Linked DNA regions of Sus scrofa. The protein of the gene in region 1 interacts with the protein of each later gene in a biochemical or structural test. Links are inferred from orthologs where the notes say so. Each region holds a gene or a part of one and is shown on either strand. Other genes may lie near its edges.

Region 1 (5,248 bases):
CTCAAAAAAGGCTCCATGCTTTACAGTGGTTTTTGAAATTCGTCAATGCTAAGAACTGTGCTACAGCTAACCCATGTGATCAAATTGGGTTGCTGCAGAGATCCTATGGGCTGCCCGATCTAAAAATCAGTTCAGTGTAAATATTGAATGCGTTGTACATGGCAGATGCCAAAATTTTAAGTAGCTGATTTCGTTTTTCCTATCTGAAAAAAAAAGCTAATTCAGTCATTATTAAGCATATTTCTTAGATCTTTGATGTAAATATTTAAGAACCTCAGAATTTAGAGCGATTATACAGGTAATACTGCTTATATTAATCTTACATTACTCTTTCCAGATTAAATCTAATGATTGAAAACCCTTTTAGCCTTTTGATTTGACTTTTCTACTCCTTCCTCGCCTTAAAATTTTTGCTCATTTGTTTAAATATTGACTTAATAAAGAGAACTGCCTCATATATCTAAGCAATCCCCTTCTTTCAAAGATCACATCCAGTTTGAACTTTATTGTTCCAAACTTTGACATGTATATGTGTCTGTGTGTTTTTTCCCTCTAAGCTGCGAGCTGGTCCATTTGATGAGTTCCAGATTGCGACCATGCTAAAAGAAATTTTGAAAGGTCTGGACTACCTGCATTCAGAAAAGAAAATTCACCGAGACATAAAAGGTATACAGAAGCCTAATATGAACCTGAGGAAAAAAAAATAGATGCATTCTGAGGAAGCTGAGGTTCTTTTGGTTTCTTTTTTTCCTCCTAGCTGCCAATGTCTTGCTCTCAGAACAAGGAGATGTCAAACTTGCTGATTTTGGAGTTGCTGGCCAGCTGACAGATACACAAATTAAAAGAAACACCTTTGTGGGAACACCATTTTGGATGGCTCCTGAAGTTATTCAGCAGTCAGCTTATGACTCAAAAGTAAAGTGTTACCTGTCCAAACTGTTTGGTTTTTAATGATAAGTTTTATATAATGCACTATCCACTTTAACAAACTACCCTAACTCTCCTTCCTTTTAAAGTATTTCTAAAGCTAGATTCATGTCAGATGTTGCTGTTACATCATAACTTCCCTTGATGCTGGTAATATTTGGACCCTATTCCCTTCAATGGCCTTCCATCCTACTTGGAATAAAGTCCAGGGTCCTTACAATCACATACGTGGCCCCTGTACAATCTGGCCCTCACCTGCCTCTCCAGCCTCATCTCCTCTCACTGCCCTCTATTTTCCACCTGCTTCAGCCACAGCGGCCTCATTGCTGTTGCATAAACATGGCAAGTACCCTCTGGCCTCAGGACCTTTGCACTTGCCTTTTCCTCCACCTGGAATAACCTTCCCACCAGTTGGGTCTCTGCTTCAACATTACCTACCCAGAATAGTCTTGCCTAGCCATCCTGTGTAAATCTGCAGCCCCTCTGCCCCCTCATTTATTATTCCCTTATCCTGGCTTACTATTTTCTTCACAGAACTTAGCACCATCAGACATCCTATTATTAATTTATTTGTCTGTCTCTTCTACTAGAACATAAATAAGCCCCTTGAGAACAGGGGTTTTTGTCTGTTTAGCCACCACCTGAATCCTCGGTGCCTAGAATGCAATAACAGCACAAAGTAGGGAATTTGACTTTTTTTTAATAAATGAATTCTATGAATAAAAATTTAGTAACATCACATTTCTTGAGACATTTACTATTGTATGACCGTGCGCTTCCACAGACTCTTTTTTTTATTTTTTATTTTTTGGTCTTTTTGTCTTTCTAGGGCCACACCCGTGGCCTATGGAGGTTCCCAGGTTAGAGGTCGAATCGGAGCTGTAGCCGCTGGCCTACGCCCCAGCCACAGCAACGCCAGATCCAAGCCATGTCTGCGATCTACATCTCAGCTCACAGCAACACCGGATCCGTAACCCACTGGGCAAGGCCAGGGATTGAACCCACAACCTCATGGTTCCTAGTCGGATGCGCCAACCGCTGAGCCACGATGGGAACTCCTTCCACAGACTCTTTTGAGGCAATGTGTTGGAATGGAACTTCAGGGTAATGGTCTTTTCTTCCTTACCTTAGGCTGACATTTGGTCCCTGGGAATCACCGCTATTGAACTAGCCAAGGGAGAGCCACCGAACTCTGATATGCATCCAATGAGGGTTCTGTTTCTTATCCCAAAAAACAATCCTCCAACTCTTGTCGGAGACTTTACTAAATCCTTTAAGGAGTTTATTGATGCTTGCCTGAACAAAGATCCATCATTTGTGAGTATATATGCTACTACTACGGTTTTCTACGGTTAGATCCACATGGAGCCACTGTAGGTGGTTCAATGGTAAGGAGTACAGTACGTGTGAAAATTGTCTAAGATCCATCCACAAACCTGATTCCTCCCTCCATGTTGCTAATTCTGTTCCCTTCTTGACAAGATCCATAGTTCCTTCTCTCCTTTTCCTGTATCTTTTTCTCTTTTTTTGTGGTACCCAGCTTCTTCCTTATTCTGTTGATTATTTCCTGGCTTAGGGGGAAAGAAATGTGAGAAGTAAAGTTCATTTTCTAGGATGTTATTATTAAAGTATATGTATGATTATTCCCATTGATTTTTATTCAGCTGTGTGTTTGTTTTCCATGAAACGGTGTTTGCATTTCACGATTTTTTATTTAATGTTTGGAAATGCCAACATAAAGTTGTGTACTTTTCCTAAAGTCTAATGAGCTCTATTCATTTACTTGGCAAATTTGATTACAGTTGTTTTACTGTTTTTAAAATAAAGCTGCCTGATGACTTCTAGAATCTAGAAATATACAAATACTGTCTAAGTTCAAAGTAACTATTTTAAATTGCTAATGAATATTCTGGTACTGATAAAATACTAAAGGGGAAAATATCCCCCACAGCACCTGGTATTTCTATTTAGACACAACATGAATTAAGGTGTGATGGGAAAGGGATTAGTCTGGGGGTCGTAGGATGTGTGCAGATAATAACAAAGAAACAGCCTTGCTAGTTTTCATCCTTTTTTCCAATTTCCAGTAAATGTAACGAAAGTATTTTAAAGCACTATTTGGAAATACTTTAAAAGTTTTACTTGATTATCGAAATCCTGCCATGTGTTTCTCTGCTTTTAAGAAAGCCCTGCCTGCCCGTTTGCTGGTAGGTAGGCCACCTTTTGCCCATTCGGCTGTAACAAGTGGGCAGCAAAGTAGCGAATTTAATTTGGTTGCCTTGAGCCACTTCAGAAATAGAATTACCTAGTGTCCTATGACATTTTAGTTGTCTTCCTGTCTACAGACATGCTTTTATGCCTTTCAGCTTAATAACTGCAATGATTTCTTATCACTCCGTGCAATCATAGAGCCTAGAAATATTCACGCATCCTGCCTCTTTGTTCCTTAGCGTCCTACAGCTAAAGAACTTCTGAAACATAAATTCATCGTAAAAAATTCAAAGAAGACTTCTTATCTGACCGAGCTGATAGATCGATTTAAGAGATGGAAGGCAGAAGGACACAGTGATGATGAATCTGATTCTGAAGGCTCTGATTCGTACGTGCAAATTATTCAATTTTTATGTAGACAGCACATTTTAATATTACAACATCTTTTAACTACAATCCAATATGCTTTCCCAAGCATAAAATATAAACTCTGCTCTAGAGTTTGACTTTAGAAACTGGCCATCTTTTAAAATCACAACCTGTAGAGCACAATGAATTTGGAAACAGATTTTTTTCTTAGAAATGAATTGCTTTAGTTTTAAATGGTCTTGGTCTAACCCCTAGTGGATACTTAAGTATATTACAAAATTTTGGAACAAGATTCAATTTAAGGTGTTTTCTTAGTTTGCCCAAAGTGATACGGAGCTATGTCTTCTCATACTTTGGAGGCAACCTGCAAAATCCCTCTGGAGAACTAACTTTTCCCACTTTTCTTGGCCATGTACCAAAATGGTCAGATTGGTACATACTTATTTATATCTGATTTCTATCCCCTAAAATGTTGCATTGTTTTTTAGCTGCAGCAATTTACATTACCATTTTAGCCTCTAAGTCCATAACTTACTTAATTCAGCCTAAAAAGTCTGCCGGCTACACCAGCATTTATTCCTCCACTGGGTGAACTGATACCGAGGTAACACCAATTTTTTTTAGATAATACCTGCATTTATGAGAAATCTCCCAACTTTTGAAAAGGATAAAAAAAAAAAGATCAGGATAGGGGTTCCCACTGTGGCACAGAGGGATTGGGAACCTGGCACAGTGGGTTAAGCATCCGGCATTGCTAATACCCACGGCTCAAATCTGATACCTGGCCCAGGAAGTGTATGTGCTGTGCAATGGCTTAAAAAGAAAAAAAAAAAATGAGGATGGTTTTTTGTACCCTGTTCTACTCTCTGTTGCCTTAGCTGCCCATGACACTCACCCATGAAGCCTTAAAAAAAAAAAAAAACAAATCACTAAGCCACACTACAGGGGATCCTGATCCAGTCAGTGGGAAGGGGTGGGGGCCGGCCTTTATATTATGGAGTTAGAGGTCTTCACATGTGATTCTGGTACACACTTTAGAGTTGAGAACCACTGCTGCTGTCCCGTAGAAAGTAGTGTCGACTTGAAGCTGAAGATCAAATGATTTTTTAACACATCGGGACAGTTTTCCATTCAGAATCTGACAGCATTGACTTGGTATTTTCACCACCTATACCATTTAGGAACTTATGGAAGTATCTTTGGCCATCTCTTTAGGGAATCCACCACCAGGGAAAATAATACTCATCCCGAATGGAGCTTTACCACCGTGCGAAAGAAGCCTGATCCAAAGAAGCTACAGAACGGGGCAGTATGTATATCCAGATGTTCACCTCCTCTTGTTAGGACTAGATAGTGCGATTATGATGGCCAAACATTGTTAGAATCGAATACCCCTGAATGCCTGTCCGTTAGTTTTGAGCTAATTAAGAAATGATCAGAGAAGTCTTTTAAGTGGCCATTGGTATGTTTTAAAATGCATTTTCCCTAGAGATAGCTAAACCCGGTGGAAACAGGTCTATCAGTTGGAATCCTAGAAGTTAGAGGCCTCTGGATGATATAGATGGGAGTTATTGATGGGAAGAAAGCATGAAGACTTGCCTTACATTGGGTCTTTGGGGGGAGGGATGCAAATTAACACACATGAATGATTATTTTCATTTCATGTATATAATTTATAACATTTGTTCAAAGGAGCAAGATCTTGTGCAAACCCTGAGCTGTTTGTCTATGATAATCACAC
Region 2 (5,972 bases), on another chromosome or scaffold:
ATATACGAATAAAAAATCGGAGTTCCCGTCGTGGCGCAGTGGTTAACGAATCCGACTAGGAACCATGAGGTTGCAGGTTCGGTCCCTGCCCTTGCTCAGTGGGTTAATGATCCGGCGTTGCCGTGAGCTGTGGTGTAGGTTGCAGACGCGGCTCGGATCCTGCGTTGCTGTGGCTCTGGTGTAGGCCGGTGGCTACAGCTCCGATTCGTCCCCTAGCCTGGGAACCTCCATATGCCGCAAGAGCGACCCAAGAAATAGCAAAAAAAAAAAAAAAAATCAAATAATAACATTATAAAACCAAGCTCCATACTTAAACTGGGCTTTCTTAGCTATTCTTTTATATTAACCTTATGAAAATTTATACAGTCTAACTCAACATCTCATTTTTTATATACATATACATATATATATATATATATGATGCCATGAGAAACAGAAACATAGACCTCATTAATACATTTCAGATTATAAAGCACAAAGAAAAAAATGGTTTAAATAAGACCCCGCTAAAGTGATCTGCATTGATTGAAAGAAAAAAGCCCCTTTTGTTACAGCAGCACATTACTTCATGACAAATTCTCTATTTTACTAAAGAAAGACCAATACAAAAACTAAATACATCTATCCTGAATCTCTGTGATGTCATGATCACAGTAGTTAACCTATATGGACAGCCCCAGTATAAAGACTATTTTTAGGGGTGGGGTGCAAAGAGGAGGTACGCCAGGCATGGGAGATACAGCAGCTATGAAAGCAACCTTTCTATAGTGCCTTTTAAAAAATACATCCCCTCATACAGCACACATATGTGACCTCTTCCATATCTGATGACAACACCTCCAAGTAATAAAATCTTTCTTTATTCAATAAGCAACAGGATCCAAATCTTGATCCTGTCAATAAATATACTTCAAACAAGAAAAAGCTTGGAGAAAGCCGTCTACAGCAGTAGATATTAAACATGACTACATTTTGTCTGAGGTAAATAATGCAAACATGTCAGAAAAAAATACACTTAAGAAGCTTCCCTTACACTTGGTTAAAAAAATTTTTATTTATTCATTAAAATTTTTTAGATTTATGTATTCATTTCTGGCCATGGTCCGCAGTGCCATGGTGAGGGATCTCAGTTCCCAGACCAGGGACTGAACCTGGGCTGCAGTGGTGAAAGTGCCCAATCCTAATCACTAGACCACCAGGGAACTCCCCTAAAAACCTTTTATATGGAGATATTTAATGACAAAAAAAGGAAAGCCTAATAGAAGATATATACTTTATAGATGACTTCATTAAGAGAAAAATAACATAAGAAGACTGAAAAGGAAATACGAAAAAATGTTAACAGTAACAAAATCTAAGTGGTAAGATTACAGCTAAGATAATTTTTTAAAATTCTATGTACTTCCTGCATTCTACAAGCCTTTTCACCTGAGAGAAGTTGACATTCACTTGTCATATGAGCAAACAACAAAGTTCTTACAAAACCAAAAAGGTTCTAAGCTGCTTCCATAGATCATATTTCTAAACTTCAAATACAGCTGCTAATTATTTGCTAGTGATATGGGTGAAAAAAAAGAAACAAAGTAAAGCCTCAGATTTTCACCTCTGGCTCGCCTATAAGAATTTTCACAACTAAAAACTAATAAAGAAATTTTTACCTAAAAAAAGTTCTATGTTACTAATCTTCTGGGATACAAAGTTGGACAGTCTGATTTTTTAAACCATCAACGTAGATGGCCTTACCCAAAAGCCAACTCAAAGAAGTGATGTTCAGCTCAGTAATTCCAAAATGCAGACACCTAATACAGAGCGCTGGAAGTTCTGATGCATTTTAGTGAAGAGCACCAAGAGAAACACCTTACGTGCAGATGAGCTTATTTTATATACATCTTTCCCTCACTTCTTAAGAGCCTAACATCGAATGAAGCTTTGCACAAAAGGTATTTTGCTTAGCCTGGACGTGGATTTATTTGAATATCCGGAAAGCTGTCAAAATCGATCTCAAACTGCATGACGTTCAAGGCACAGAACGTCAGTTCTGTACTGGGCCTCCTTCTCTCCTTTCTTTCATAAGAGCGCCTTTAACATCTCCTAGCTTACATTTCCGGGCCCATGAGTCACTGAGAAATGAGCTCTAAGTTACCCTTAGAATGCCACTCAAATAGCTCCTCTACGGCATTCAAGGATCTGCCCCCCAACTCTTTGGCCTACCCCCCACTGCCCCCCACGACAAACTGCATTATCTACTATTTCCGACTATGCCTTTTTACCTTTGTCCTCTAGCGTTGCTGCTCCTCCAACACACTGCTCCTCTTCTGCAACCCTCCTCTCTCCCAAATCCCATCTGGCCTTCAAGACCCCACTTTGCACAGCCTCGCCCAGGAAGCCTTCAGATTTCTGCTAGGCGGAAGTGATCGATCGGGCCGGTCTTCTCCGGGTACCCTTCTAGCATTTTGTAGTTCTTTCATAGGACTTATCATCTCCTTCCTGGTATCGTAGTCATTTGTGTACTCGCCTTATCACCCACGCCAGAATGTAAGCTCCTCGGGGGAGGGGACCGCGAGCCGGGGTTCACCTTCGAATCCCTCCGGCGCGGACCGACCAGAGCGCCTGCAGGCAGTCAGCGAGCAGGCTGGTTCAACCGACCTCGGGAACGCTCTGGCCGCACAATTCCTAACCAGAAAACAGTTAGGCATCTTCCCGAAATGCAGACCACAGAGATGCTATCTGCCTCCCGATAACAGGAAGTTTACCAGGGGCCAGGAGCAAGGTGGCCGGATCCCTTGCGCGGCGGGAGTGACAGTTGGCCCGGCCCGCACTCGCCTGCCCTCGGGGCTCCGGCCGCGAACGCCCCCATGCCGCCAGCCCCGCCAAAGAACTGCGGAGGGCTTGCAGGAGAGCGTGGCGCCCCGCAGCCCCGGCTGCAGGCCCCTGGGCGCCGAGCCGGCGAGGACGACGAGGGGGGTAGGCTCCGCGAGGGGCCCGGGCCGGGCGGAGAGGGCAGACCGGGCCGCTCCCGCCGATACCGGGCCGGGGCCGCCTCCACCACCCGAGAAAATGGAGGCAGCCCCGGGCCGGTGACGGGCCGGGCAGGGCAGGCGGAAGCCGGGCGGGCGTCCACGCCGCGAGCTGGGTCGGGCCGGGGGTCACTCACGGAGCTGGGCCGGGCGGCTCCCTCTCAGCCTCCGCGTCGTCGCCGTCCCCGTCCTCGGCCGCCGACGCCTCGGGCTGCTCGCTCGGTCCCCGCGGCGCGGCTCGGCCGCTCGGCCCCTCCGTTGTCTTCCGCCCGCTCCTGCTCCCAGCGACAGGATCCCGCGGCGGCGGCGGCGGCTGCGCGGGCGGACGGCGGCCCAGGGGCTCCCGCGGCGGCCGCCGCACTGCTGCGCTCGCTCGCTCTCTTGGGCTGCGGCTACGGCTCTGCTGCGGGGCCCCGCGCCGCCTTCACCCTCGCTTTCGCCCGGCTCCCGGAGGCTCAGTCTCTCCCAGGCCGCGCCGCTCCCCGCTCCCGGCCCGAGCCCGGCTTTGACGTGCGCACTGCGCAGCCGCCGAGGGCGCGACGTCGGGCGGCGCCGCAACGCCCCCTTCAGCCTCGGGCGCCCCCAGGCGGCTGGGCGGACTCGGGCGTAGGAGTCCGCGCTGAGGCCTGAGGCGGAGGCGGCTGGGGGAAAGCGGAAGCAGAGGGGAAGAGTTCCTCTCCTTTCACCTGCCACTGAAGTGTTGGTGCCCAGCCGCTTCTCTGCCTCAGCGCTCTTGCCAGAGGGATCCTAAATCCACTTTGTGCGACCACTTCCTGAACTCTTAACAAAGCTTCGTTTCGGCTAAAGGCCAGGGACCAAGTTGTGCAGATTGATTCCTTCATACTTGCCAGAGACGGATCACTCTCATTTTAACATCCTCCAAGAGAGCGTAGAAAGTGATAGAATGATCACTCTTAATAGGATTCAAAGCCTGGATTTAAACCTCAACTCCACCATTCAGTCACCATAGGCTATTGCCTGACTCCATTCCTATGTTCTTCCACTCTCTCTCTCTCTCTCACACACACACACACACATGCACAAATATAAGAGTACATACAGTACCATAAGTTTATGAGGATGAACGAGACAATGCATTGCAAAGCTCTGACAACAGACTCTGGTACATGAACATGCCACACGTGTACATTTTTGTTTCTTTAATTTGCAATCGAACAGGTGTTCTTGAGTATCTGCTGTGTGCCAGGCACTCTTCTAGATAGTGGAGCAGTGAACAAAAGAGACCCTGCTCCTGAGACAATAAATAAATAAACAGACATATGTATGACATTAGATGCTTTTCAGTGTTATGGAAATTGGGCTAAGGAGGGGAGAGAGTGCAGGCTATTGCTGTTTACAGCGCTCCTGCTGTGAGATATGTGTATGGAAAGGCAGAGGGAACAGCCAGGACAAAGCCCCTCAGGTGGGATACCTTGCAGCAAAACATGACCCCTGGGAAAGGGGAGTGGATGGAGATGAGGGAAGAGGGGAGACCCTATAGGCTAAAGTGAGGACTTTGGCTTTTACTCTGAATGAGATGGGGAGCTGTTTGGAGGGGTTTGAGCAGAGAAAGGATGTGGTCTAATATTTCAAAAGGATAACTCTGATTGCGGTGTGAAGACCAGCCTGAGCGGCCTGAGGGCTTCAGCCAGGACATCAGTTAGAAGTCTTCTGAAATAATCTGGTGATAAGAAGACTGGCAAGACCCAGGATGAAAGCAGTGGAAGCCTAAAGAAGTGGTCAGGTTCTAGACACATTTAAAAGGTAGAGCTGACCTGATGTTGCTGGTCTCTGAGGGGTTTTTTGGTTTGTTTGTTTTCTCAAGCAACTGGAAGATAAAAATTTGGTGAAATGAAGAAGACTCATACAGAAACAGATACAGGAGTTGCTCAGAAATACACTTGGAGGCATATTAAGCTTAAGCTGCCTGTTAGACACCCAAGTAGGAAGCTCACTGTGGAAGTCTGGGGTTTGGGGGAGAGGTCTGGGCTGGAGATAGAGTTGGGGGAGTCTTCAGAGTAAGTAAGATCTCAGGACTCAATGAGATCATTTAGGGAGAGAGTGTTGATAAAAGACAAGGCAAGGATGAGCCAGGGCCCCCAACATTGAAAAGTCAGGTTGATGACAAGGGACCAGCAAAGGATCCTGAGAGGAGCCAGGGTGGCTGGAGGATCTTTATGTGCTGGAAGACGAGTGATAGAAGATGGATCCATGCCTCCAACAGCAGCTCATAGTTCAAGGAAGGTAAGTACTGGTGATTGGTCATTGGTGTCAGTGCCATAGAGGCAACTAGTGGCCTTGGTAAGAGCTATTTCAGCAGAGGTGAGTGGGAAAGCTTGACCAGAGTAGCCTCTAGGAAGAATGAGGCTGTAGAAAGAGGGACCATGAGTGTAAACAACTTTTCTTGACGCTTTGCTGTAAAGGGGAGCAGAGAAATGGGGTGGTAGCTGGAGGGAAATGTGGAGTCAAAACAGATTTTTTTTTTTTTTTTTGCTTTATTTCAGTTTTTGAGAATGAAGCTGTTAGAGCCACCTTAGTTTGCTGATGGGAGTATTCAGTAGTGAGGGAAAATTTGAGGATGACTAGAGCGGGGGTGGGGGCATGTTCTGAAGAGTTATCTTTGAGGGAGCAAGAAGAGAAGGTTGCAGCGCACAGTGGAGGAGTCTGACCTTGGAGACCAGCAAGGTCAAGTTCACTCACCCTAACAGAAGGCCAGCAGCTGCATGGATGAGGGGCTAGAACAGGTGCAGTTCCCTTTGAGGGCTTCTCTTTGCGCAGGGAAACAGGAAGTGAGGTCATCAGCTCAGAGTGTGGAGGGCGAGGAGAAGGGGTAAGGGCCAGTCAGCAGGGTTAGTCTGTGTTTCTCAGAGGCCACATTCTGCTGGGAAGGTGCAAGCCCAGGACAGTGAGGGCTTGGATTCATCCAGGCTTATTTTTGTTTGATAATCCATGAAG

What was found.
Region 2: the proteins of STK26 (region 1) and CAB39 are reported together in a solved structure, tested with the Homo sapiens proteins (2 studies listed by IntAct, with this or other methods). The link is inferred for Sus scrofa from reciprocal best matches to the Homo sapiens genes STK26 and CAB39.

What each region holds. Positions count from the first base shown.
Region 1 is NC_010461.5:108,230,426-108,235,673, forward strand, and holds part of STK26 (serine/threonine-protein kinase 26), read left to right. Parts: intron 1-557; coding exon 558-666; intron 667-757; coding exon 758-915; intron 916-2,058; coding exon 2,059-2,244; intron 2,245-3,377; coding exon 3,378-3,526; intron 3,527-4,722; coding exon 4,723-4,816; intron 4,817-5,199; coding exon 5,200-5,248. UniProt on the Homo sapiens protein: Serine/threonine-protein kinase that acts as a mediator of cell growth. Modulates apoptosis. In association with STK24 negatively regulates Golgi reorientation in polarized cell migration upon RHO activation.
Region 2 is NC_010457.5:131,490,136-131,496,107, reverse strand, and holds the start of CAB39 (calcium-binding protein 39), read right to left. Parts: upstream 3,534-5,972; 5' UTR 3,155-3,533; intron 2,389-3,154; exon of another isoform or gene 2,271-2,388; intron 1-2,270. UniProt on the Homo sapiens protein: Component of a complex that binds and activates STK11/LKB1. In the complex, required to stabilize the interaction between CAB39/MO25 (CAB39/MO25alpha or CAB39L/MO25beta) and STK11/LKB1.